7 linked regions of the Coturnix japonica genome follow. The protein of the gene in region 4 purifies or fractionates together with the protein of the main gene of each other region. This does not show direct contact. Links are inferred from orthologs where the notes say so. Each region holds a gene or a part of one and is shown on either strand. Other genes may lie near its edges.

Region 1 (3,500 bases), on a different chromosome or scaffold from region 4:
ATGATGTTCAAGGGTACGCAGCAAAGACTGTTTTTGAGGTGAGAATAATTGGGTGGATTAATAAGGAAATTACGTTACCTGGAAACTTAGTAAAAATAGAAGTCTTTTACAGTGTTTTTTTTCCCCTGAGTTTTCTGGCTGCTGGAATCCAAACTGAGTAATAACTTGGTGATCCTCCTGGAAGTATGCAGCCATTACCTGCTAATGTACAGGAATTGTCTGGGAAACCAAACAAGGGAAAGACAGAGGAAAAAAATGGGAAAAGGGAAAAAATATATGTATTTTTTAGTACAATACAGATCAAGGACTCCTACTGTGTTCTTACAGGCCCTTCAAGCTCCAGCATGCCATGAGAATCTCGTAAAAGTAGGTGGCTACATCTTGGGAGAGTTTGGTAATCTGATAGCAGGGGATCCAAGATCAAGGTAAAACACCTTTTAATTTCATTGAAGTAATTATAAAAAAAAATAATTTATTTATCCTAAAAGTCAGTTAAGAAATGATTCAGCTCTTGATAGTAATATCATTGAGGTTATCATGTCAACAGAATCTGAACTAATTGTTTTTCTTTCTCTTTTTCAAGCCCCCTCATCCAGTTCAACTTGCTACATTCCAAGTTTCATCTGTGTAGTGTTCCTACCCGAGCTCTGCTTCTGTCCACCTACATCAAGTTTGTGAACCTGTTTCCAGAAATCAAAACTACAATTCAAGATGTGTTGCGCAGTGACAGTCAGCTAAAGAATGCAGATGTTGAGCTGCAGCAGAGAGCTGTTGAGTATCTGAGGCTCAGTACTATTGCCAGTACTGATATATTGGTAGGTATAGAACCCTTTTTATTATGCAGAACACTTTAGCCGTTTCTTCTCTCAATAAGTAAACTTGAATAAATCTTAGCTGTTTGCTCCAAAATCTTAATGCAGAATTAAAGATCTGTAAAATGGATGCTGGTTCCTCTTAGTGTATATAATCCAGCTCTTTAACCTAAAACTAAAATCAAAGGTGTTACTTCCTTGGTAAGGTAGATCACTACTTGTATCTTTATGAAAATATTATAGGTTTTCAGAGATTTGGTAAGCCTTTCAAAGATATATTTATTGGATCAGGTCCTCAGAGACTCTCAAACTGTGTGATTTCTTCCACTTGTATTCCTCCACACAACAGTCTGGTTGTCTTCATGTCCTTTAGCTTTACGATTATTGAAAAATTAACGTCATCTCTGAGCATGAGTGAGGGATAGTGTGTCCTAAAGAACACTTGTCAAAGGCAATGCATAAATTGAAACCAAATAGAAAAGGAAGACCTCACTTAATCCTTACAGATTTTTTTTTTTTATGCCGGTGTTAAACAATTGCAAACTATTTCAGAAGATCTGTGAAATCTACTTGTTTACTGGTGGGCATGAAAATTTTGTCTCTAGAAATTTCAGGTGCTTTAGCCTGATGCACTCAGATCTGGCCGGAGCATGGTGCTCTCAGCCTAGACAGCTAATAGACAACTATATCTGACTAGATCCTTGGGTAATCTGTGCTTTCAGGTCTTGGTGGAGGTTTGCTATAGTCTCCTCCCTCCTTCTTCATTTATTTATTTTTAGGTGTACTTTATCAAACACCTAAAAATACACTCCTGCTCTTCTAAGCAACAACTTTGGGAGGACTTCAGAAAGCTTTATATAGTTTCTTTTAAAGGCAAGTCTTATCTACCACTGTGTACCAGACTACATACATAGCTATTTTCTGTGTAGGTGATTTTTATTTATTTATTTATTTATTTTGCCTTGATGTCTTTTGACAAAGACTGGGATGTTGGTTTGGCTTATTCTGTAAATATAATTAGTATACTTTTTTCTTTTTTTTTTTTTTTCCTGTAATAAGGCTACAGTGCTGGAGGAAATGCCTCCCTTTCCAGAGAGGGAATCTTCTATTTTGGCTAAACTCAAGAAGAAGAAAGGTCCAGGCACAGTTACTGACCTGGAAGAGATCAAAAAGGAGAGGAGCTCTGATATGAATGGAAGTGCTGAACCTGCATCTGTCAATGCCAGTGCTGTTGTGAGTTTCAAATCTGTTCTTACTTCACTAACTCAGAGGGTGTGCAGGTGAGGAAAGACTGGTTTCCTTGGCTTTTTAGGGCCTTTAACCTTCTTGTCTCGAATTTCAAACTATGAATGTTTGCTATACAGTAGTGTCCCTTCTTTGTTGTTATTTTGAGAAGTATTGCCCTAGTCTTAGAAATGAAAATTTCATTGCTGATGGAGATGTAGGGATGGTGAGGTGTTTGAAATTGAATTTATTCCTTTTAAAGTAACTTCAGTAAAGTCAGCTGTTCTTCTACGTTGTCTAACATGCCTACTTCTGCATCTAGTTGTGGGTCACTGTTGTTTTTTCTAGTAGCGGACAGTACTTGACAGGGATGTCCTTAATAATTGCTCTTTATTTGATGGTCCTATTTCTGTTCAGTTATGGTACACAAGTCTTCATATTTTTTTCTGTGCTGAACCACCTCATTTTAATGTCAATTAAGGTTGGTCAAGTGAATGATTCCCATGACATAATACTTGTTGCTGTTCAAGTTACAGATTATGCTTATAAGTACAGTTGAGATGCAGTAGCATTTTAGCATGCTCCCTCTCTTACAGCTTACTCGTTTAACTCTTACAATAGGTATGGGTATACATTCCAGATGAGTTATGTTTGAATTGACAGGTATATCTTTAGGTGCCAAGCATTCTTTATGTGCCAAATTGGCTGATGTATCTGGTATTTAAAATTGTATTCTGCCTTACAAGCTTCACTTTGAATTGCAGCAGTGTAAGAAATTCTGCCAAGTTACCTTCATTACCATTTTGGATGTCACCTTAGCTTGGATGGCTGAAGATGAACTCAGAGTTCATCTCATTGCTTTGAGCAGATCTTGCTGATCAATTTCTGAAGAAATTTGGCCAGGGATTTTTCTGTTATCCTGCATTGAAGTCAGCCTTTGGTGTATAAGAAAATGTTGAGTTGTATTGTATTTGAATTAGGCGTGAAATTTTGTTCTTGTCTCATTGTCTCTTGCATCCTTAGAATATCTGGCATAATGCAGGGTGCTAATATCTAATGCATGATCACTTTATTTAACAATCAGTCTCTGCTTTGCTCTTGCACATGACTTGTGCATGTATGAAACCTTTGTTTTATTAACAGTGCATGATTCTGCCTCCCAGTCACTGGATTTGTTCTACTTGAGCAAATTTATATATGTTAAGATCTGATCTCTACGTATCTTGTCTTCCCTAGACTACTCCTTCTCCATCTGCGGATCTGCTGGGTCTGGGTGCAGCCCCTCTCACCAATTCAGCTCCCCCACCTTCCTCTAGTGGTAGCCTGCTGGTGGATGTATTTTCAGATTCAGCTTCTGCTGTTGCACCTCTTGCTCCTGGTTCTGATGACAACTTTGCAAGGTAATTAAGTCATCCTCTATGGCATCTGGTAAAGCGTTTGTCTACTAAAGCAGGATTAGACAAA
Region 2 (4,043 bases), about 1.2 Mb from region 4:
GTGCTGCCATCCCTCCCCACACACTCCTGTTGGCAGCCCTGGGGGGGGGGGCAGCAGGTCCCGCCCAGGCACTGCTGGGCAAACACGGCCAGCAGGAGCTGATAAGCCACGGGCAGCCTTCGATCTGCCACCTGATGTCACCCACTGCCACTGCTGCCTGTGATGCACAGCCTGGCACAGCTTGGCACAGCGTTGGCATTAGCCTCCATGGCTGGAAGGGACAGAGCCAGGTTTATCTGTTCCCCAGCGACACAACCACTGCAGGCCATGCACCAAAAGGGTAAACAGGATTTCCAGGCAGAAAACCGTAACCAGACCTTTGCCTAGTCCTGTTTTCCACCTTTCACACAATGAAGCCATTCCCTTTCTTCATCACTCCTTGCAGGGGAATCCCACATACAGGTTGGTACAGCTCAAAGGGGCCTGACATGGTTCAGCACAGCCTGGCACAGGTTGGTACAGCACAACCTGGCATTGCTCAGTATGGCTGGGCAGGGATTGGCACAGCCAGGCAGGGCTTGCTCCAACACAGCCTGACTGGGCTTGATATGGCACAGAAGGGCCTGGCTCATGTTGGTGCAGCTACAAAGGGTCTGACACAGCTCAGCACAGCCTGACATGGGTTGGTATGGCAGAGCTGGCAGTTCTCAGTGCTGCCTGATGGACTGGCACAGCCCTGCCTGAAACAACAGGGGTTGGTGAGGCCCAACCTGGCCTCGTTTGTCCTGGTAGAGCCTGGCACAGCACAGTGCAGCTCAGTGAGGCCTGGCACAGGTTGGTGCGAGATGAAAGGGTCCAACATGGCTCAGTATGGCCTGGTACCAGTCCAGGTTCAGTGTATGACGCAGTGGTCCAACATAACTCAGTATGGCCCATCAGGGATTGGCACAGCCTGGCCTGGTACAGCCCAGCACGGCCTGGTACAGCTCAGGTTCATTGTATGACGCAGTGGTCCAACATGGCTCAGCACGGCCTGGTACAGCTCGTTCAGTGTATGACCCAGTGGTCCAGCATGAGTCAGTATGGCCTGGTACAGTCCAGGTTCAGTGTATGACGCAGTGGTCCAACATAACTCAGCACGGCCCATCATGGACTGGCACATCCCGTCCTGTCAGGCATTTCCAGGTCCTGGCCCACTCTGGTCCCGCCCAGCCCGGCTCGGCCCGGTCCATACTCCCTCCCGACCCTCTCAGGACTACACATCCCGTCATGCTCCGCGCCGCCGGGAGGGGCCGCTTCCGCCCAGCGCCCGTCGTGCGTCGCCGCCGCCGAGGCCGAGCCCGGAGCCGCGGTTGAAGCCGCCGCCGCCGCCGCCGCTCTCCTTCCTCCTCCTCCTCCGTCCGTCCCGCAGCCCCGTAGCCGCCATGTCGGCTCAGGCGCAGATGCGGGCCCTGCTGGACCAGCTGATGGGCACGGCCCGGGACGGTGAGTAGGGGCGGGCGGGGCCTGCAGGATCCGCGGCCTGGCTGCCCAGCGGGGCCCGGTCCGGCTCCACCCGCGGCCTACGGGCTGTCGCTGTGTGGATCCGCGGGGTGTGTGTGTGGGGTGGGCCGCATCGCCCTGCCCCGCCGAGCCCCGTCGGGTCGGAGCCGTAGGTAGGTCGTACTGTCCGGCCTTACGGTCCGGCCTTAATGCGGTTCGTGTGGGCCCGAGCTCTCCAATACCCGCCTCGTAGCGGGGTTTGCTCAGGTCCTTTTGCACTTTGTTTCGTTAAGTGAATGAAGTGCCTTTCTCTCTCTCTTTTATTTTTTTGTGTGTGTTGAGTTGCTGTTGAATTGCTTCCCATATATTTTATTTCATACAAACTGAACAATGGTGGCCCCTCTATTTTATTCATAAAGGTTCAGTGTATCTTTGCCTGCCTACATCAATCTGCAAGGGAGTTGCAGAAAAGCCTCATGTTCATCGAGCCGTGAGTCACAACCGATTTTTAAAGCTGTTATAACAAAAATTAAAAGAAAAAAAAACAAAAAAGAAAAGAAAAAAGAAAAAAAAACCCCAAAAAAGTGTTTGCTTTTTCTTTTTTTCCCCCCTCCCCAGCAGTAACTTTAAAAGCGTAGCTTAGAAAGCAAGAAAAACCATTTGGAATAGACACAATTCCTGGATGCTTGCAAACCCTATTCCTATGATGACACGCCTGTGTCATGTATACACAGCTTCGCTTTAAAATTGTCACGTTCCATTACCACTTTGCCTTTACTTTCATGTATCGTTCCCCTGACTTCCTTACTGCAGGTGTGGGCAAGAAAGCTTTTCCTTTAAAACTTTTCAACAGTGGGCATAAAATTCTGCAGCTGAGGTCTTGAAGAATGCAGATGGGTATAGTATATGTTGGAGCTCGCAGTGTGTATTGACTAACTTTGTTTCTTTTTTTTATTATTTTATTTTATTTTATTTTATTTTCTGCTTTTCTGATATTGTCTTGTTTAAGTGGCTCCTGAATGTAAAATGTCTCCTGAGGGCGGGAGGAGGGTGGGAACTACGCTACGTGCTCCGGGCCGAGACCTACGAGATGCAGCATTTCACGGCCTTGGAAAACACGCTGCAGACTTGGTATTGAGACCAAATGGACCGATGTCTTAATCATCAGATTAGCAAATAGAAGTTGCTTATAAAAGTATAAAACCAAACCCAACTGCCCAGCACAGCCTTATGTTGTGATTCATGGCCCTCTGCTTGCTTGGGTTCCAGTATCTCCTGCCCTTTCGTTATGGCAAAATAAAAGGGGGGATAGAACAACCAAAAGTGTTGGCTCTGAGCCGACTGTCTGTCTCCTTTTCCTCTTTGGGCTGTGCAGTCTCTTTATATGGATGACAGGCTTTGGACGTTACTTGGCTTTCCAACACTGTGTTTAACATGGTGTACAATGAATAAATGCAAAAATGGTATTTGCTGCCAATTATGAGTTTTTCAGATTATCCTGTCACCCTCCAAGTAATTCTGGGGAGCACCAAGTATTTTAATCTGCATATTGAAATGATCATGCTGACATTTCTGTTCCTTATCGGTATTCTAATGTCTCCTTATTTAAAACCACAAATGAATTTCAGGAGATGAAACCAGGCAAAGGGTGAAGTTTACAGACGATCGTGTCTGCAAGAGCCACCTCCTGGATTGCTGTCCTCATGATATCCTGGCAGGAACAGTAAGTATTCCTTTGGAATAAGGAATTTTGGTAAGGCAAACGTTGGCACAGCTCTCAAGGGCTCCTCTGTGCCACCCAAAGTACCTTTGAGGAGATGCAGCCTGGAAAACATCAGATTTCCCTTACACCAGGGATAGCCAGCAATTTTCATTTCAGTTTCCATGCTGTCTTTGGATCCACAATAGTCAGGTGTATTCTGAATTCATTCACACTGCTTTTTCTATCACAATCGATGGGAGGTTGCAAGGTTATTTCTGTTTTGACAGCTTATGGTGGTTAGGATGTGAAGCTTGTCCTGTGGGGGTCACGGGATCGTGGCCTACAGGAGCCAGCTTGCTGTCCAGGGTGCTGCAGCTCACTGCATCTTCAGCTGCAGTAACCCTCAATCCTCAGAGCTTTTAGTCTCCTTTTTTAAACCAGGTGGTATTCTCCCAGTGGGATTTCAGCTTTTTAATCATAAAGGGTGAGCATATAATGGCAGGTTACAGTTCAGGCCAGCTTTGTCTTTAGTTTGTTGGTGTGAGTAGTATGTTGCTCTGCCTGACTGGTTTCAAACAGTTGGGACAGCTTCCTTCACTGGTGCCCTCTGGGGATACAGCTGGCCAAGGTTCAGAGGATTGGCTCAGATGTTCTCTGTGAGAGCAGGAGGTGACGTGGTAACAACGAGATCTTGTGGAGTAAGAATCCAGCTTTCAAAAGAAAACAGTATACGACTTTGGTAATTACTGTGTTACTTAATTGCAGGATGGAGATGAATAACGCTGTTTGTCTCTAAATGCTGTGACTTTTTATGTTGTCCATCCACTTAACCAGATTTTTTTTAACTGCACTCCTTGTTTATAGGACTTTATTGTGTTATTTCACAAGCTGGGGTTTGACACGTGGGTTCCCAGCAGAG
Region 3 (3,264 bases), on a different chromosome or scaffold from region 4:
AGCTCAGTATTGATAGTTCTGCAGCATCCATCCGGCCGTGAGCTCTGTGCAGGGACAGGGGCCATCCTGCAGGATGCTCCAGGAGCCCATGTGGCCCTGTAGCAGGGAAAGGGCTTTTTCTTGACCCCCCTGCTTTCCTAATCCTTTGCTTATCCCTTGCTTATCCTCCTTGAAGGGAGGAGTTCTGTGAAATCTTCCGGGCGAAGGAGAAGACGTCGGGCAAGCTGTACACCTGCAAGAAGTTCCTGAAGCGGGACGGGCGCAAGGTGAGGAAGGCAGCCAAGAATGAGATCATCATCCTGAAAATGTGAGTGCCGGGGCCGAGGGGGGGTTGGGTCAGTCCCCACGGGTGGTCAGGCAGCACCCATCCATGCTTCCATCCATCCATTGCCACCACTGTCCTATGGGTGCCGCAGGGTGAAGCACCCCAACATCCTGCAGCTGGTGGACGTCTACATCACGCGCAAGGAGTACTTCATCTTCCTGGAGCTGTAAGCATAGCGTGAGGAGGAGGGTGGGCGCCGTGCTGTGGGGCCACCACAGCCTGCTCTTGGCACCGGCAGGGCCACGGGCCGGGAGGTTTTCGACTGGATCCTGGACCAGGGCTACTACTCAGAGAAGGACACCAGCAACGTCATCCGGCAGGTGCTGGAGGCCGTCGCGTACCTGCACTCCCTCAAGATCGTTCACAGGAACCTCAAGGTGGGCGCTGGGGGTCCCTGGTGGGCCCAGGCACCTATGGGTGCTTTTGCAGCCCCGTCACGCTCACATTCCCTGTGCTGGCAGCTGGAGAACCTGGTGTACTACAACCGCCTGAAGAACTCCAAGATCGTCATCAGCGACTTCCACCTGGCCAAGCTGGAGAACGGCCTCATCAAGGAGCCCTGTGGCACCCCTGAGTACCTGGGTGAGGGCGAGCTGGGCAGGCACAGAGAGGGGGTGGGGGGCACAGACTGCCTGTCTCAGGGTCAGCATTCTGGCAGGTCCCTGCCCTCCTAGTGCGTCCATCATGATGACCCTGGTTGCTTCTGATGAGTGTCCATCACTCAGGGACCCATCCTGGGTGCTCCTGGCAGTTCTCTCCCATTCACATCACCCTGCAGCTGATGCTGGCTGCACCCTGGGGGTCCCTCCTGCTCCCCAGCACCCATCCTAAGAGCTCCCATCGGGTCCCTGCTGCTGACTGCTCTCTGTGGGTTCCTGTGTGTCCCTGGTGGGTTACTCCCACTTCCCATCACACAGAGAAGCAATCGGATGCTCACAACGGGTCCCTCCTGCTCCCCATCACCCCAGGCACCCATCCTGATTCCTCCCAAAGGGTTCTTCCTGCTTCCTATCACCTCAAGGACCCATCCATGGTTCCTCCCTATGGGTTCCTCCTGCTCTCCATCATTCCAATTACCCACACTGGGTCCCTCCTGCTGCTCACGGGTGACCTGTTGGGACGCACCATGCATGGCCACCCTGGAGGAGCAAATCGGGTACAGGGGGATGGGTTTCCCAGTGGGGGAACTTGGTGTCTGGAGACCCCAGAGCAGAACAGGTCCCCCTACCACCATCCTGTGTTCTGTAGCTCCAGAGGTGGTGGGACGGCAGCGGTACGGGCGGCCGGTGGACTGCTGGGCCATTGGTGTCATCATGTACATCCTGTGAGTGTGGGGCTGGGGCTGGGGTGCTCTGGGTTGTGGGAGGAGGGCACTGAACACACATCCTGCAGGCTCTCGGGGAACCCCCCCTTCTACGAGGAGGCAGATGAGGATGACTATGAGAACCACGACAAGAACCTCTTCCGCAAAATCCTGGCTGGGGACTACGAGTTCGACCCACCCTATTGGGATGACATCTCACAGGCTGGTGAGACATAGTACCTGAGGAGGGGGGAGGTGGGTACGGGGTCCCTGTGTGTCCCCCCAGCGCTGACCGTCCTGACCCCAGCCAAGGAGCTGGTGACACGACTGATGGAGGTGGAGCAGGACCAGCGGATCACGGCAGAGGAGGCCATCTCTCATGAATGGTGAGGGGTTGCGGTGGCACGGGGGGGTCTGGGGAAGGCAGTGAGGGCCGCTCACCACCTCCTTCCTCCCCCCAGGATCTCTGGCAACGCCGCCTCCGACAAGAACATCAAGGACGGCGTCTGCGCCCAGATCGAGAAGAACTTCGCCAGGGCCAAGTGGAAGGTGGGTGGGCGCAGCCCGGTGCCTCAGTTTCCCCCCGGGGGGTCCTGACGCGCTGTCGTCCCCGCAGAAAGCCGTGCGAGTGACCACGCTCATGAAGCGGCTGCGGGCGCCCGAGCAGACGGAGTCGGCCCCCGCAGCCACCGCTACCACCGCTTCCACCGCCGCTACTACCACCACTACCACCACCACTACCACCACCACCACCGCCGCAGCCGCCGCCACGGACGCCGCGGCCCCGCCAGCTCCCAGCCCGGCCGCCGACACGTGTAACGGGGCCGGGGACGCCGCAGCTGCCGCCGAGACCCCCAACGAGCCGAGCGGCTGAGCGGCCCCGTGTCCACAGCCCCGGCATGGCCCCCGCACCCCCCGCCTGCGCCCCACTTTTCTACGTGCCCCCAGCGGAGAGCGGGGCAGCGCCCTGCATGGAGCCCGTCCCCTCCCGGTCCCCGCCGCTCTCTCGGTCCGTCCCCCGCCGCCTCCCCCCCTCCCGCCCCCCGCAGCCCGGGGATGCTCAGAGATCCCCGCGGACACCCCGGGATGCGCTCACGGGCCGGGCCCGAGGCGGGAACGGGGGCTGGGATGGGGGGGGGGGTGTCGGTACCGTCCATCCCTCCCGTCGTCCCGCCGCCCCCGGCCGCTGCATTGCCCGCTGTATCTCCGGCAAATAAAGACCCGCGCGAGGGCAAACTGGGACGGCGGCCATAGCAAACGAGCGACAGCAGTCCGGGGGGTCGGTACCGGGAGGGCGGTGGATGGGGCCGGGTGGAGGGAGGTCGGGGCTCTGAGGGCAGAGCGGCCGGTCGGGCCGGGCGTGGGCGGGGCCGCCCGCACAGGGGGCGTGTCATGGCGGCTGCGGGACCCGCCCGCACCGTGACGTCACATCCTGCCTGAACCGGGAAGTGCGTCGGCCTGGCGGCCCGGTTTGAACGGCGCGGCGTCGCGCGGTTTGTGAGCGATTCCGTCTACTTCCGTTCCATCCGGTACTTCCGGTTCTCCGCGATGCCGATCCGCGGCACTAGCCCATCTGCTCCGGATTTCTCGACAACGCCTTACATGTGTCCTGTGCCGTTGCGGCACACCTTCTCAC
Region 4 (3,991 bases):
TACCATTACAGGCAGTAACAAATACATGTTTTCAGAGCCACCTTTTGCTGACTTCCACACGGCTCAGATTTACACAACCTTTGAATTGCATTGGTCACAATGGAAAGATTAAAGGAAGGGGTTTTGACCGTTGTGAAGTATGGTGGAATTAGTGAGCTATGGAGAGTCGGTTTTCATTGCTGTAACTTGCAGTTGCTTTCTGTCTACCAGGAGAAGAGCTTCAGCCATTCTTTTTCTGGGTATTCCACTCATGTTTTGCTTCCTTTACCAGGTCCCGCTCCAGCTCCACTTCCAGCTCAGGATCCAGTTCCAGCACTGGTTCCAGCAGTGGCTCGAGCTCCTCTTCTGCCTCAAGCCGCTCTGGGAGCTCCAGCACCTCACGCAGTTCAAGTTCCAGCAGCTCCTCTGGATCCCCCAGTCCGTCCCGACGGAGACATGACAACAGGAGGCGGTCCCGCTCCAAGTGAGTTCATGTTGTCTTTAGGAATTCCTACAGAGCAGGTTCCTTGTGCAATACAAGGTTGTGATCAAACAGATTTTTACCAAGGATGGTCTGCATTCTCCGTAACTTAGAGATGTGAATTTTGTTAGAACAGGCATGTTTCTATTAATGGCAGTCAAAATGGATGCCAGCTTCTAGTTCTTGTCGTCTTGTTTCCCCTGAAAACTGTGAATGTTTTCATGTCCAAATCAGGTCCAAGCCACCGAAGAGAGATGAAAAGGAGCGGAAGCGGCGCAGCCCATCACCCAGACCTACAAAAGTGCACGTTGGGAGGCTCACTAGAAACGTCACCAAGGTAATGGCATGTTCTCCTGTAATGCCACGCAGGTGCACCCCTGTGGGCGTGTGTTGGTGGCTTTTTTTAAAGCCTTCAAGGTTTGTTTTGTTGCTGGTGTACTGCCAGCACATTGCTGTTGGAAATGCTTGCTTTGTGTCCAAACTGATGAGCGTGGAATGCTTCAGTAGAACTTCCTCAAGTCAAATTAACTGTGGGCTTGTGTAATTCAGTAGTGTTAAAAGTTCTGTCTGCCTTATTGGTACCCGAGAGCTCCACCTTCCTAGGAAGAAAGCTGTAGAAGTCAGTACAGCAGTAGAAATCACCTGGGAGGCATTAAGGACACCTGGGGGGTTCACCAAAAGGAGCTTCAGGAGAGCTGGACTGGCTGGAGTTGTCTTTGCTAGAATGTAGTTTAAAGGTCTGCAGAAATACAAGTTTAGGGTGCTGAAAAAATGCTATTTAAAAACACAATATTAAGAATTGCACCTTAAGACTTTCTAAGTGAGGACACAACTTCACTTTCCTAAGGTCCCCAGGAAGGTTTTTACACTAGTGCAGCTTTTGTAGCCTGTGGTGGTGTTCAGCCAGTAATTCTGTTAAGGATTAGAGTGATCTGAAGTGAAACAGACATAGATGTCAGTAGAGGATGTGGTAATCTCAGTGTCCTTTCCACACCTGATCAGTGGAATATATCTCCTGCAGGTGGCATTGATTCAAAGCTGATGTGGTGCTGTGTGCTCTGTACCAGCCAGAGCTGCTCAGTGATAGTGCTGTACATCCTTAAGTTCTGCTCTTTTTTGGCAGGATCACATCATGGAAATTTTTTCCACTTATGGAAAGATTAAAATGATTGACATGCCAGTTGACAGGCTAAATCCACACCTCTCTAAAGGCTACGCTTATGTGGAGTTTGAGAACCCAGATGATGCTGAGAAAGCCCTGAAACACATGGATGGAGGTAGGTGTCAAATGCTGCAAGGAGGCTGAGTGCTTTGAAAGAAGTTTTTGGATTTGATGTGAAAATGAGATGGAGATGATGGGCTGCCTTTTGGGGAACTGATCTGACGTGCTGTCATTCTGTTTTCAGCCCAGAGGGGCTTTTGTATGGTCTCAGGACAGGTTGAAAAGAAAATACAGAACTATTAAAATGATAGTTTTGTTTTTTTTTTCCAAACAAAATATCATTTAAATCTTTGTGAAAATCCTTCCTGATCCATGTCTGGTGGGATACTTGGTGAAGAAGTCTGGTGTGTGTGTGGTTTGGTCAGTATAACTTCAGAGTGTAGTGGAAATAGGAGCACGGGGTCGTGCTGCTTGTGTCAGAGCTGTGAATCGCTGTCACTTGGTTTGTTGGTGCTGGCAAACACTAACTTTATTTTTGTGACTTTCTGAACAGGGCAGATCGATGGGCAGGAGATCACTGCCACAGCTGTACTGGCACCACGGCCCAGACCGCCGCCTCGGCGCTTCAGCCCCCCCAGGAGGATGCTGCCCCCACCCCCCATGTGGCGCAGGTCACCCCCTCGCATGAGGAGAAGGTGAGAGCTGTGGCATTTCTTATTTCCTTCTTGTTGTAACAAGAATTTGTCATGAAGTCCCAGTGCCAGGACAGCTTCGTCTCATTGGAGTTGATTGTCCACTCCAAATGACAGTTCAAAACAAAGCAGTCACCTTCTGGGTGTCAGTTGAACTCAGATTGTTCTTAATATTCCATTCCTGGGACCTTGGTGTCACACTGGTGGCTGTACAGACTAATTGTAGCACTTTATCTTTAGAGCTGAGCTTCCTGTGAGAAGTGTCTGTGGTGCTGTGTGAGCTGTGTCAATACTGAACAATATTTCAGGAGCCAAAGTCTCAGATGAACCTTTCAGATCGAGGAGAGTCTGACTTAGAACAAACTTGTTTGTTTTGTGTGAAGCAGAAAATAAGATTCTTGTCTATTCTTTGGATATGAAGCAGCCTTTCAAGCTGTGAAGCAGAGGGTGGTAGCTAGAAAATCCCTGCTGGGATCTTGCTGTTTAAGTTGCCCTTTTGCTTCCTGCGGTTTGCTGTCTGTCGGATCTTTCACAGTGGTTTATAAGGGGGCGAAAGGAATCAATGAGCAGAGGTGGCAGGTGAGGTGACCTTCCTGGAGCTGCTCCCTGTGCCCTGACAGGAACTTTCTCCTCCTCCTGCCAGGTCTCGCTCCCCGCGCCGCAGGTCTCCTGTTCGCCGGCGCTCGCGGTCCAGGTCTCCGGGACGAAGGCGCCACCGCAGCCGCTCCAGCTCCAACTCGTCACGATAAAGCAAAAAAAGAATGGACAGCTTTTTATTTTTTAACTTAAATTCCGCGAAAATAAATATTGTACCTTTTTTATAATGGGTCTAGGAGAGGAAGGGAGAGAGGGGGAGAGAGAGGATGCAGTGGAGGTAACAGAGAGGAGACGGCAGCAGCTCCCGGCCATTGGGCAGCCTCTGCTGCGGGGCTTGGAAGTTTCCTGGCATTGAATTGGCATTATTGACAAACAGCCTCGATTTTTATGTTTTAGTTTTGTTTTTTCCCGGCTATAAACCCACCGTGTCCTGTGCTGGTTGTGCGGGGCTGCTCTGGCCCCTTTGTCCAGTGAGTTCACAATGCTTTGTGTGCTGTAAGGGTGAGCGTATCGATCTCGAGCTGTTTGGAAACGCTGCAGAACGGGACAGGGAGCCTCAGGGCTGGGACTGAGCGGCTCGAACAGATCACAAACCTGATCACAGACCTGATCCTTGAGCTGCTGCTTTATTCCCAGTCCCAAATAATGAGTCGTTTGTGCCCATTGATGTCCTGCAGTGCTCCTGGTTGATGCTGCACCCTGCTGAACGCTGCGAATCTTACCAGCGGGTTTGTAGCTGCTGCCCCACTCGGTCCCATAAGGAAACAATGCGATTGTTCTGCTTTACAAATCCCATTAGCAACTGATGGGCAACCACTGCAAGGCAGAGGGGGGGCTTGAGGCCGTGCTGCTGCCTGGGGAAAGGCAGAGAACCAACCACCTGTTGTACAGTCGATCCTATAAAGTCTTTTTGTTGTTTTTTCTTTATTTTCGTGTCGTTTTGTATGACTTTGTAGCCTTCGGGGCCGCGTTGTGTTTGTACTTGTGTAGGACGAGCGACTCGAATAAAGCAGTAGGGTTGAGAAATCGGGGCTCCTGCGCCTTTAAGAGCACAGTGGGCGGGGCTTCTTGCGGCTCCGC
Region 5 (3,500 bases), on a different chromosome or scaffold from region 4:
TGGATTGAGTTGTCGTATAATTCACAAAAAGCAAACATCAACGTACTCTAGTGTGAACTGTGCCAACAAGAAAAGGAAAATAGAAACACGTGCTCTCTTTGCTCTTAATTAGGCATGTTCTTTCCAAACTTCACGTGTGATCTTCTGTTTAATATTAATGTTCAGAGTACCCCAGACTGGTGCTTCAGCGTTCTCAAATGCTCAGGTGCCCTATGGAAGCATTAACGTGCATTCTGTTTGCTTCTAGTGCCTCAAATGTAAAGGGAGGAGAAAATCTTCTTTCCAATTTAATGCCAGACAGGCATTAAATTAAAATGATATCGCTACTGAACAACAAACTACTGAATGTATGCTTACAAACGCTACAGAATGACCAGGGAAAGGAGCTTGCTAAGTGTGTAATTCTGCACTCAGGCCTGGCCTGGATAGTGCTGTGAATAGTCTCATCTTCTGCATAAATTCCACTTCATATTGTCTGGAGTGACTTTCCCCCCACCACCCCTTAAATTTGGCAAGAGACTTCTGTGTTAAGCTGAAGCTTTGAATGTAAGCTGTCCTGCATGGCAGGAAAAAGAAAAACAGTTTCAGATTTGCTTGTTATTACTATATTCAAGGTTAGGGTACAGTTTTAGAATGTCTTTGGAGAGGGGGGGTTCTATGCTGTTTGATGTTCCATGTTGAGGGAGTTAAGATTACTTGTAGAAGCGTTTTTAAAGGCTCTCCTCAATCATATCAGAAAGAGTGAAACCATGGGTAAGTTACATTCCTCACAGACATTTCATGCAATATAAGTTGTGTTAAAGTAGTTACTGAAGCTTATACCCAGCTGGCCTAGGATGTCTTAGAGTTTAGGTCAGTGATTAAGTGTGAGGCATAAGTGAAATTCAGAACTGCCTTAACTGAGATCTCTTAGGGCTTTTCTTAATACATCAAGCAGTGGTTAGGAATTTGTGTTGGTAGTAAAATTCATACCTACAGCTAAGTCTATTTTATCTGTGTTTAGGCTAAGGAACGTGCCAATGGAATGGAGTTGGATGGAAGAAGAATCCGGGTAGACTTTTCCATAACAAAAAGACCTCACACGCCTACCCCTGGAATCTACATGGGAAGACCCACTTAGTAGGTTACTGTTGTGGCATTTTTTCCTCTGGAAGTGTAAGGGTCAGGATACATTGTGTCCTGTATTTTAAAAGACAAAATAACAGCAACAAAACAATTTCTCAGTGGCTGATCTGAGGTCAGTTTAGATTACAGTAAGCAGAAACTTATGTCCAATAGCTATGCAGTCCAAACATAAGCTGTCTACACATTTAAGTCTGCAGTAAGAATTTTGGATAAGTTCTAAATTATTTCAAGTTGTTTCTGATTAGTGGATGTTCCCCTGTGTGCTCTCAAACACCAGTGGCTTTGTAAGCTCTAGTTTTCAAGCATCCCTCAACAAATACTACTGTGCAGCTTTGCTACAGTTTACCCTATTAAACATTTGACAAAGTTACTAAGAATGTGAGTTGTTTTCCCAAGTCAATTCTCAGTTGTTTTCTCAAGATTTTCTGGTTACAGAGCTGTTGGCTGTGTATTGGTGTTGTATGGAGGCTCTAAGTTTATTTTTTTGATGGAGAAATTCATCCAAAAGCTTTCTGGGAGTAAGAAGTGAATGAGGAGTTGGGTACAGGCACATAGAATTCCTTGTGTGCCTGCCTTAAAATGGTGAGAGGTTTCAGAACAGAGAGGAAAGTAGCTGCTTTAGAGATCAAGCATTTTAAACAGCAGTGTTAAGTAGTTCTGTTTCCATCTGCATCACTGGGAAACACTCATAGCATCACCTTAACTGTGAGAATGGAAGACAGTAACTTAAGTGAGTTAAAAAGGGATATGCTTGACTGACTGCACTGCAAACAGAATTGATGTTTTATGTTTTCTTAAATGAAATTCTCTTTTATTACTTGTAGTGGCAGCTCACGGCGACGGGATTACTATGACAGAGGATATGATAGAGGATATGATGATCGTGACTATTACAGCAGATCATACAGGTGAGGCGATGTTTGTAGTGCTGAACTACTTCAACTTTGTTCTACATGTGTGTGCCAGAATATTTCTGTGCTCATTCTAATTGGAATCTCCATATACCTCTACAAAAATAGCTGGTCAAGACAAATGAGGTTGGTCAGATATGAGAAAAATACTTTGTGCTGTTTCACAGGAGCGTGGTTTATTCTGTACTGCTTCTTTAAATTGATGAAAAACAAAGTACCATTCTCTGTACTCACGTTTCTTGTTCCTCTCCCAGCATTAACATGATGGGTGTACAGGTGTCAATCTGATATTTGAGTTTGCAATTTGATGCCAAATTAGTTTTTGAATGTAGTAGACAACAAGTAGGATGTTTCAATGGTCACCATTGAACAATTATGACATCTCAAATGTTGCCACAGCAAAGAATCAGATATAAGAGGATTACTTGTTCTGTACTCGAAGCTTGTTTGGCAAGGCTTTTTTAGCATACTCTTATCAGGTTGGATGAGGATGTTCTCCTGCAGGGACTTGTGCTTTTTATTTCTGTCTGCAGTCTTAGGTTTTCAACAGTACAGTGAAAGTGCTGAATATCCCGGTGGCAGCATAGGTTGTTGGAGGGCTTCTAAAGCTGATAGAAAATGTGTTGAAAACTCAGTTGGCACTTAATTGGTTTTGGTGGCACAGCCAGCTCTATATTGTGTTCTCTGTTATGACTGCCCGGAGGAGTTGTGTCATGTGAAATTCCCAGAATTTGACTCAAACACGTTAAATTGGACACACAGATGACACATTTCATTATTTTATTTTAATCTAATTGCCTGGTGTACCTTTGGTTGCAGAATCATAGAGCCGTTCTGAGTTGTTTGCTGTGCTTTAATGCATCAGCACTGGGTACATCTATGACGGTTGCTTGATGACAGTGTTTGGAGAAGCATGAGTTTGAATTCTGTTGTTCACTTATAGCTCACAATGAACAATCTAAATCCTGAGATCTGAGCTTTTGCAATGTGCTCTTCTGGATATTTACATTTGTATGGTCTTTCTCAGTCACTTTGGGCAACTGTTTCCTCCTTCCTGTCCTACTACTTGCAGGCACTTGTTTTTTCCAGCCTGTCATCAAGGATTTGGTCTGTTTCTCTCTTCCTTGCCTTTCTGTACTTCAGCTCTGCAGGGGCTGGGGGAGGATTAAGGTGCTTCTGCATCACGACAGTGAATGCTGGAGACACAAGTGCTTTGCTCATAGTTCTGGGAAAGAGTATTTTCTGCCTTAAAAAACAATTCATTTCCCTGCTACGTCAGTGGCTTTGAACGTCAGGGTTAAGCTGTTACAAGGACAAGATATATTGGTTTTCATCTTGCCAGCAATTGTACATAGGCTTCCACATGAAGTAGGTGAGACCTGAAAGTAGCAATTTGACCAAGCTTTCTGCATGCGGTACAAAAGCTTGCTCAGAATAGTGACAATTATCCTCGTTTTACTTAAT
Region 6 (3,500 bases), on a different chromosome or scaffold from region 4:
TGAGTCTTCACAGGTAAGAAATCCTACAGAAGCCAATGTCTAATTAGCATGGCCTTGAAAATCCCATCTCTCTTCATCCATGTTTTGGTGTATTCCTTAGTATGAACTGTTGTTTGGGAACTCAATACTAGCACGGAGAGTATGTGCAAAAGTGTATTGTACCTGAAGGTGACTGGTGTGTCCTGATGTAGGGCCTTTAGAGAATGCTGATAAAACTATAGGTTTCAAAGCCCCAGTTTCTCATCTGTCCTTCCAGAAGAGAAGTCGTAATGCAGAGAGAAATAAAGATGCATAATCACCCTAACAGCTGTTATTTCCCTGTTGTTAAATAACTCTCTATGAAGAACAGCAAAAATAGAGAAGCTCAGTTCTTGACTTCCTTTGCTTAAGGGTATACTTTTGATTATTGTTTTTTGGTTCTCTAGGTGGATAGTGGTGCTGACTCAGAGCCTGGTGTGCTGATGAGTGCACAAACTATCACGTCTGAAACCACCAGCACTACAACCACTACACATATCACCAAAGTGAGTCCTCTGGAAATGGAAAGCTTTTTTTTTTTTTTTTTTTTTTTTTTCTGAAGGAAAAATGTGTTTTCTTAGCTTCTGTTGTTTTAAAGCAGAGTCACATGCTTATAAGCTCAAACAAAATCCTGTCTGTTTTGGCTTTCACCTGTCTTTGGGTATACTAGCTTGATTAAGGTCAAGTGCACAGTGCTGCACTTGGATCGGGGAATCCTAGGTATTTATACAAACTGGGGGAAGATCTCCTTGAGAGCAGCCCTGTGGAGAAGGACTTGGGAGTCCTGGTGGATGAGAAGCTGGACATGAGCCAGCAGTGTGCGCTTGCAGCCCACAAGGCCAACTGTGCTCTGGGTTGCATTAAAAAAGGGGTGGCCAGCAGGGAGAGGGAGGTGATTGTCCCCAACTACTCAGCACTTGTGAGGCCCCATCTGATGTACTGTGTCCAGGCCTGGGGCCTCCAGTACTGGAAGGACTTGGAGCTCTTGGAGCCGGTCCAGAGGAGGGCCACTAAGATGATCAGAGGGCTGGGGCACCTCTCCTGCAAGGAAAGGTTGAGGGAACTGGGCTTGTTTAGCTTGGAGAAGAGAAGGCTCCAGGGACTGTTTACATGGGTTGATATGATAGGACAAGGGGGAATGGTTTTAAACTGAGATGGGGAGGTTTAGGTTAGATTTTAGGTGGATGTTTTTCACACAGAGGGTGGTGAAGCACTGGAACAGGTTGCCCAAGGAGGTTGTGGATGCCCCATCCCTGGAGGCATTCAAGGCCAGGCTGGATGTGGCACTGGGCAGCCTGGTCTAGTGGATGGTGACACTGCACACAGCAGGGGAATTGAAATTGGATGATCATTGTGGTCCTCTCCAACTCAGGCCATTCTATGATTAACCTATCACCCAAGGACTTAAGAGTGGTCTGAAAAGAATAAACCCTTCAGGTATGTCTACACTACTGTGCAGATACATTTGAATTAGCAGCAAATACTTTCTTAATCAGGGACCAATGTAGCCAAGTTGTCATCAAATGATTCCAAGGAAGGAATGATTTTTCTCAGCATGAGATTGTCAGGACCATACTGCTTTTGAGTCCTGCACTATTTGGTCTGCACAGTTTTGAAATGGTTGTAAATCTGTATCGTATAGTCATAATGGAACATTCAGTCAGCTTAGACACTGAGTTGTTGTAGTGTTGTTGTGCTGTAAGGAGCTAGCAGAAACCCTATTTGTACAGTGACAGCTTTCTTACTAGTATTCAGTGAAGACTGCATTTCATCCTTCTGCAGTGCAATTCACCCTTCAGTAGATGAGCTTTACAAGGGCTGTACAGCCTCTCTGTTCTTCTAAAGCCTGCAGTGTGTCTTACCTAGGTTTTAATATGAGCTCTCTGTCTGTATGACCATTCTTCTTTTCATGGGATGAATTTACCACTAATACCTGTCATTTTTGACCTACCCCAAATATCTTTCTGGATGTGTGCAGGCTGGTTAAAATCACATCATCATCTTTGTCAGAAGGAACTCTGGAGAGGTCCAACCCCCCCATTCTGAGCAAGCTCCAATTGCAGTATGGGGCTGTCATCTGTGTGTGTCCAAAGTTGGTTTAGTCGGATCACATCTGAATGTGTGATAGTCCTGCAAATGGGTTGCAACACTCTTTAAAGCAAGCTACTGACATGTATTTATCATTCTCATTTAGACTGTGAAAGGAGGCATCTCAGAAACAAGAATCGAAAAACGAATAGTCATCACAGGAGATGCAGATATCGACCATGATCAGGTAAAATCTCTAAGCTGTTTAAGGCTACCCTGAAGGCTGAAAAACAGAACATTACTAAACATTGTTTTAAAAGATACTGTTCAAACCGACATGCCTTAAATTAAACTGAACTAGTAGTTAAGTCAGTGATGGTATATTTCATATTTTAATCATTTTCCTCATTTGTAAACTGTGTAATATCTCATGAATCTCTCCACCTTGCTACTGATCATGCATGTTCCACCTCCTTTTTGTTTTTGCCCTTCTGTGGTTTCCTTGGGATAGGCGCTGGCTCAGGCAATTAAAGAAGCCAAAGAGCAGCACCCTGACATGTCAGTGACCAAAGTAGTGGTACATAAAGAGACAGAAATCACACCAGAAGATGGGGAGGATTGACCGCAGGTAAGTAGACTAGATGATTTTCCCAGGCATTTACTGGGCTGGCATGTTGCAAAGGTTGTTTTCCTACCATAATTCACCTCTAACTCCACTTTCTCTCTATGACATTTGCAAGTTGCATTTATGCTGTTTATCAGTTCTGATGTTTGAATGCAAAGCCCATTCAGCTCTGAATGTCTTCATTTAACAGTGCCAGCTGGAGCAACAGAAACCACTCATTTGCTTTTGTTGGCTCTCTGCAAATTCCTCATTGTCCATGCTTTGATACAGTCTAATTTCTAATCCTGAAGTCAAAAAAACTCTTTTGTCTGCTTCTATGTCATTTAAGAATAAACTTTTGTTCTTAAAGAACAATAAAAGAACCAGTTAAGAACAATTAAATATCATTTAAGAACAAACTTTTGTTCTTAAAGGTATGCATTTTGTTTAAAAAATGCCAAGGGTAAAACCTATAGCTGCTTTTTCAGTGTTCTGTGCGGATATGTTACAAGTTAAGCTTTATTCCAAACTTGCAAAGGTATGGCCTAACTTGCTTTTGATTTTTGTTTTGAACCCAGTGAGCTCAGTGTGTCAGCATTTGGATGTCTTGGCTTTCTTGTATTTCAAAGGACATATTATGTTTTAAAGCAGCATTGTTTATCAGGATGAGATGATGATGCAGCTTTCTTGTGTTGAGCTTTGTTTATTTTCCATAAAGGCATGCTCTCCAATTGTGGTTGGCCAAACAGACATCTTAATATTCCTATATTTGCTCTATGCGCAGAAACATGTCATGCATACTAACCTGCTACCTAAAAGCTGCTAATGCCGGCACCATTGCACAAATTGC
Region 7 (3,500 bases), on a different chromosome or scaffold from region 4:
TTGATAGTTAGAGTGGTGAGACACTGGAACAGGCTGCACAGTGAGGCTGTGGATGCCCCCTCCCTAGAAGCGTTCAAGGCCAGGCTGGATGGGGCTTTGAGCAGACTGGTCTAGAGGGAGGTGTCCCTGCCTATAGCAGGGGATTTGGAACTAGGTGATCTTAAAGGTCCCTTCCAACTCAAAGCATTCTATGATCAGGCTGGACCCTCAAGGTTGTTTTTTCCTGGTGAATCTTCAGTACTTCTAGACTATAATCATATCAGTCTCTAATATCAGCTCTCATTTCATTTTAACTTTGAAGAACATATGGAGTGTAAGATAAGAATAGTCTTGTTGAAGTGACAGAGGTTTGTTCCTTCCTGGGAGCCACCGCTTAGCAGACTTCATTGCTGTTGCAGTCATGCAGCACAGAGGACTTTTTCATAGAATCATAGAATCACAAGGTTGGAAAGGACCTACAAGATCATCTAGTCCAACCATCTTCCCATTACTGCAGCTACAGCAAACCACTAAACCATATCTTAGAGCTCCTCATCCAGCACAACTGTGAGGCATCACAGTAAACTTTCCATCTTTGCAGACACTTGCAACTCCTACTGTTATTGTTTTCTAATATTATTTTTAATGGTACATACCTTATGTATGGTATATATATACCTTTAATGGTACATACCATACCTGTTAAATTTAATCTTTTTTTTTTTTTTTTTTTAAAGTTTTTATTTTTATTTTTTTTTTTGCTTTGCTTTGAAAGCACTGAGATGGAAGCTAGCTTGTTTCAGCTGCACTGCATGTTGCTAATGATTCCACACGCTCCTGGAGATGCCTTGTGTTTCATGAGCAGACTGGAGGTTTGCAAATCTGGTAACAGAACTCTGCAGGGTGTGCAGAAGAACTCTGTGGCCAAGCACATCCATATGTCACCATGCTTATTTGGTTGAGCTGTCTAGATGTTTCCTGCAAACAGACTGTACCCTGATACGTAGCATCTGTGTGGGCTGTGGTGGATAAGGAAGCATGCTTGATGTCTGTAGCATCTTTCAGCACTGTTTTGTGTCGACAGCATAGCACTAGCTGTGCCCAATCAGGCCTTTCTGTGGTTGCCTCCCTCCCTGGAGATCTTCTGAAGCCCCATGGCCCTGGGCACCCCGCTCTTGGTGGCCCTGCTAGAGCAGCTGTTAGGACAGAGGGACCCAGAGGGTCCTGCCAGCCTGAGCCATCCTGTGCTTCTGTGATACCTGCTTGCAGTTCATTCAATGCTATTACCTTCCCAGAATGTCAAAATAGTGAATAAATATGTGCTGGTTGTCTTCTGCTGCTGGTGAGTTTATCTTAAAACAGCAGTTGTATGGCAGCAGTACTGTGAACACAGGTATATTAAAATTACGGGCTCACATTCAAATCAAATACATTCAAGTATACTGGGGAAAAAAAAATGTATTAACGTGAAGACATCACTAAAAACAGATTAAGCCAAATGTTTTTACATCGTAATTGTGTGGGAGTGAGAGTTAAGTGTGCACCTGACACTTAGCTGATGAGTGGTAATGCATTACATTACCACAGTTCCATCGGTGGAGGTGGTGTGCCAGCCCTGAGGTTTTGATCTGGCACGCTAATATTTAGAGTGGAACCAATGCCAATAAATTCTTGAAGGATCAGAATTATATTGGGTAAGTACCTGTTCTTTCTTGTGCTAAAAAAAATGCTTTTGATTTTCTCAGTTTTTTTTCTCCACAATTAGACATATATATTCATGCGTGTGTCAAATGGAGTTTGTTTATTTGTACAGAATGCAGCATATTACCTTGCCAAGTATTAAGTCATTTAATCTTTCTTTAATGTGGGAATACAGTGATAGCTTAGCAACTTCCAGTTCACTGAAAGCTTTTACTTCCTTTCCACTACGTCAGCAATGGAAGACATTCCTAACATGCCCAAGAGGTTCCCCAAAAGCACTGCTGTTACTCATCTCTCAAGTCACGAACAAATAGACTTAAAGTTTTGATCCTGCAAAATGGAAATGTATGCTCTGCAATTTAAGGAGACAAAACAAGCTAGAAACATTTGTCTCTGTTCAGAATAAATTTCATAGCTGTATCAGGAATTCAGTCACTGAGTTGATAGATACAGATGTAATAGAAGTTTTTATATGTATTTAGAAACATAAGTATGCATGGTTAAGTTAGCCATTTCCCAGAGAGAATGAGAATGGCAGTGTGATCTATCTATTTCATTTTTCCAGGCCTGAACAGAATAGTAAATAACAGAAAATGACGTTGTTTCTTGTTGCAGCCTTTATCCTCATCTCTACTCAAGAGCATACATTAACTTTAGAAATCCTGAGGACATCCTCCTTTTTAGAGATCGCTTTGATGGCTATGTCTTCATTGATAATAAAGGTTGGACTATTTGTAAGCTATTACATGTGAATACATACATGCCTACATTGCCATTTTAGAACATTAATTCATTTCATTTTTTATAATTAGGCTATTATTTATTTATTTATTTATTTTGCTTAAGATACAGTTGATTACATAAAAGTGCACTAAAACAAAATCTGGTTATTGGAAGATAATGAAGTGAAAAATGTATTTGTCCAGGCAGTCTTATTTGTCTGCATGGTGTGCACACTTCATCTGCATTCTCATAACTCAAGCAGTACATTGTCAGGATCCTATTCATTATCTTAGGTGAGCTTCACAATTCAACACAACATTGACCCAAAACATTGCAAGCACAAGTGGCTGCATCTTTGTTGTGTTTCTGTGAGATAAAGCGGTGCTGTGCATTCCCCTTCTGAGAAAGCAAAACCAAAACCCACATCCTCACTATTTTGGTTGCACAATTTGAGATATGTATGGCTTGACTTTTCAGAGAGCTTTTATGTTTGATAGAACCTCAGGTGTTTTCAGTCTGATTTCCCTTAACAGTGTGTGTACTCACCTGTATTTGTCGATAAGAGCCTGGACATTCTGCTGTAATGTAGGAGACAGATGGTCAGTTTGGTGTGGTTGTTTGCACGTACCAAGCCCAAGCTTAGATTGCAAGTGCCCTCTAGTGAAGCTAATAATAATGTTTAAATGATTCAAGTATTAAAGTGTTTTGTTTGTAATCCAAAATACAGCCACGTGCAAATTGTCCTTTGAAATTCAGGATGGGATTTTAGAAACATTCATCTTCACTTTCAAGTAAAGCTACCCAACACAGACATGAAGGGTTTGGAAAACCTTACTTGAATACAATGAATGCTTCCTGAAATAAAAATTAAGTGTTGTTCTCTTTTAAGGTTTGGAGTACCCTGCAGTGGTTGAATTTGCTCCATTTCAGAAGATTTCAAAAAAGAAATTAAAAAAGAAAGACACCAAGGCTGGGAGCATTGAAGATGGTAAGTGTATCTTCTTGATGTCACGGTGGAAAACAGATTCCATTTCTGTCATGCATAGTACTAACAGAATTCAAAACTTTATCTTCACAGACCCAGAATATAGGAAATT

The links.
Region 1: the proteins of RNPS1 (region 4) and AP2A2 purify together in Homo sapiens (co-immunoprecipitation; 3 studies listed by BioGRID and IntAct, with this or other methods). This does not show direct contact. The link is inferred for Coturnix japonica from reciprocal best matches to the Homo sapiens genes RNPS1 and AP2A2.
Region 2: the proteins of RNPS1 (region 4) and LUC7L purify together in Homo sapiens (affinity purification with mass spectrometry; 3 studies listed by BioGRID and IntAct, counting the BioPlex papers as one, with this or other methods). This does not show direct contact. The link is inferred for Coturnix japonica from reciprocal best matches to the Homo sapiens genes RNPS1 and LUC7L.
Region 3: the proteins of RNPS1 (region 4) and CAMKV purify together in Homo sapiens (affinity purification with mass spectrometry; 3 studies listed by BioGRID and IntAct, counting the BioPlex papers as one, with this or other methods). This does not show direct contact. The link is inferred for Coturnix japonica from reciprocal best matches to the Homo sapiens genes RNPS1 and CAMKV.
Region 5: the proteins of RNPS1 (region 4) and TRA2B purify together in Homo sapiens (affinity purification with western blotting; 3 studies listed by BioGRID and IntAct, with this or other methods). This does not show direct contact. The link is inferred for Coturnix japonica from reciprocal best matches to the Homo sapiens genes RNPS1 and TRA2B.
Region 6: the proteins of RNPS1 (region 4) and EPB41L3 purify together in Homo sapiens (co-immunoprecipitation; 3 studies listed by BioGRID and IntAct, with this or other methods). This does not show direct contact. The link is inferred for Coturnix japonica from reciprocal best matches to the Homo sapiens genes RNPS1 and EPB41L3.
Region 7: the proteins of RNPS1 (region 4) and UPF3A purify together in Homo sapiens (co-immunoprecipitation; 4 studies listed by BioGRID and IntAct, with this or other methods). This does not show direct contact. The link is inferred for Coturnix japonica from reciprocal best matches to the Homo sapiens genes RNPS1 and UPF3A.

What each region holds. Positions count from the first base shown.
Region 1 is NC_029520.1:9,470,427-9,473,926, forward strand, and holds part of AP2A2 (AP-2 complex subunit alpha-2), read left to right. Parts: coding exon 1-38; intron 39-327; coding exon 328-425; intron 426-583; coding exon 584-815; intron 816-1,871; coding exon 1,872-2,045; intron 2,046-3,272; coding exon 3,273-3,436; intron 3,437-3,500. UniProt on the Homo sapiens protein: Component of the adaptor protein complex 2 (AP-2). Adaptor protein complexes function in protein transport via transport vesicles in different membrane traffic pathways.
Region 2 is NC_029529.1:10,852,063-10,856,105, reverse strand, and holds the start of LUC7L (putative RNA-binding protein Luc7-like 1), read left to right. Parts: upstream 1-1,243; 5' UTR 1,244-1,364; coding exon 1,365-1,425; intron 1,426-1,841; exon of another isoform or gene 1,842-1,912; intron 1,913-2,431; exon of another isoform or gene 2,432-2,553; intron 2,554-3,050; coding exon 3,051-3,145; intron 3,146-4,043. UniProt on the Homo sapiens protein: May bind to RNA via its Arg/Ser-rich domain.
Region 3 is NC_029527.1:1,482,003-1,485,266, reverse strand, and holds the end of CAMKV (caM kinase-like vesicle-associated protein), read left to right. Parts: intron 1-175; coding exon 176-307; intron 308-416; coding exon 417-491; intron 492-563; coding exon 564-702; intron 703-786; coding exon 787-907; intron 908-1,573; coding exon 1,574-1,649; intron 1,650-1,717; coding exon 1,718-1,854; intron 1,855-1,935; coding exon 1,936-2,014; intron 2,015-2,089; coding exon 2,090-2,177; intron 2,178-2,244; coding exon 2,245-2,502; 3' UTR 2,503-2,764; downstream 2,765-3,264. Other genes in the region: E3 ubiquitin-protein ligase TRAIP, read left to right, coding at 3,177-3,264. UniProt on the Homo sapiens protein: Does not appear to have detectable kinase activity.
Region 4 is NC_029529.1:12,005,958-12,009,948, reverse strand, and holds the end of RNPS1 (RNA-binding protein with serine-rich domain 1), read left to right. Parts: intron 1-271; coding exon 272-463; intron 464-694; coding exon 695-797; intron 798-1,583; coding exon 1,584-1,737; intron 1,738-2,175; coding exon 2,176-2,317; intron 2,318-2,957; coding exon 2,958-3,063; 3' UTR 3,064-3,491; downstream 3,492-3,991. UniProt on the Homo sapiens protein: Part of pre- and post-splicing multiprotein mRNP complexes. Auxiliary component of the splicing-dependent multiprotein exon junction complex (EJC) deposited at splice junction on mRNAs.
Region 5 is NC_029524.1:3,326,464-3,329,963, forward strand, and holds part of TRA2B (transformer-2 protein homolog beta), read left to right. Parts: intron 1-1,003; coding exon 1,004-1,119; intron 1,120-1,949; coding exon 1,950-2,033; intron 2,034-3,500. UniProt on the Homo sapiens protein: Sequence-specific RNA-binding protein which participates in the control of pre-mRNA splicing. Can either activate or suppress exon inclusion. Acts additively with RBMX to promote exon 7 inclusion of the survival motor neuron SMN2.
Region 6 is NC_029517.1:90,380,595-90,384,094, forward strand, and holds part of EPB41L3 (band 4.1-like protein 3), read left to right. Parts: coding exon 1-13; intron 14-425; coding exon 426-524; intron 525-2,212; coding exon 2,213-2,293; intron 2,294-2,557; coding exon 2,558-2,668; 3' UTR 2,669-2,674; intron 2,675-3,500. UniProt on the Homo sapiens protein: Tumor suppressor that inhibits cell proliferation and promotes apoptosis. Modulates the activity of protein arginine N-methyltransferases, including PRMT3 and PRMT5.
Region 7 is NC_029516.1:123,392,521-123,396,020, reverse strand, and holds part of UPF3A (regulator of nonsense transcripts 3A), read left to right. Parts: intron 1-2,295; coding exon 2,296-2,402; intron 2,403-3,292; coding exon 3,293-3,391; intron 3,392-3,481; coding exon 3,482-3,500. UniProt on the Homo sapiens protein: Involved in nonsense-mediated decay (NMD) of mRNAs containing premature stop codons by associating with the nuclear exon junction complex (EJC) and serving as link between the EJC core and NMD machinery.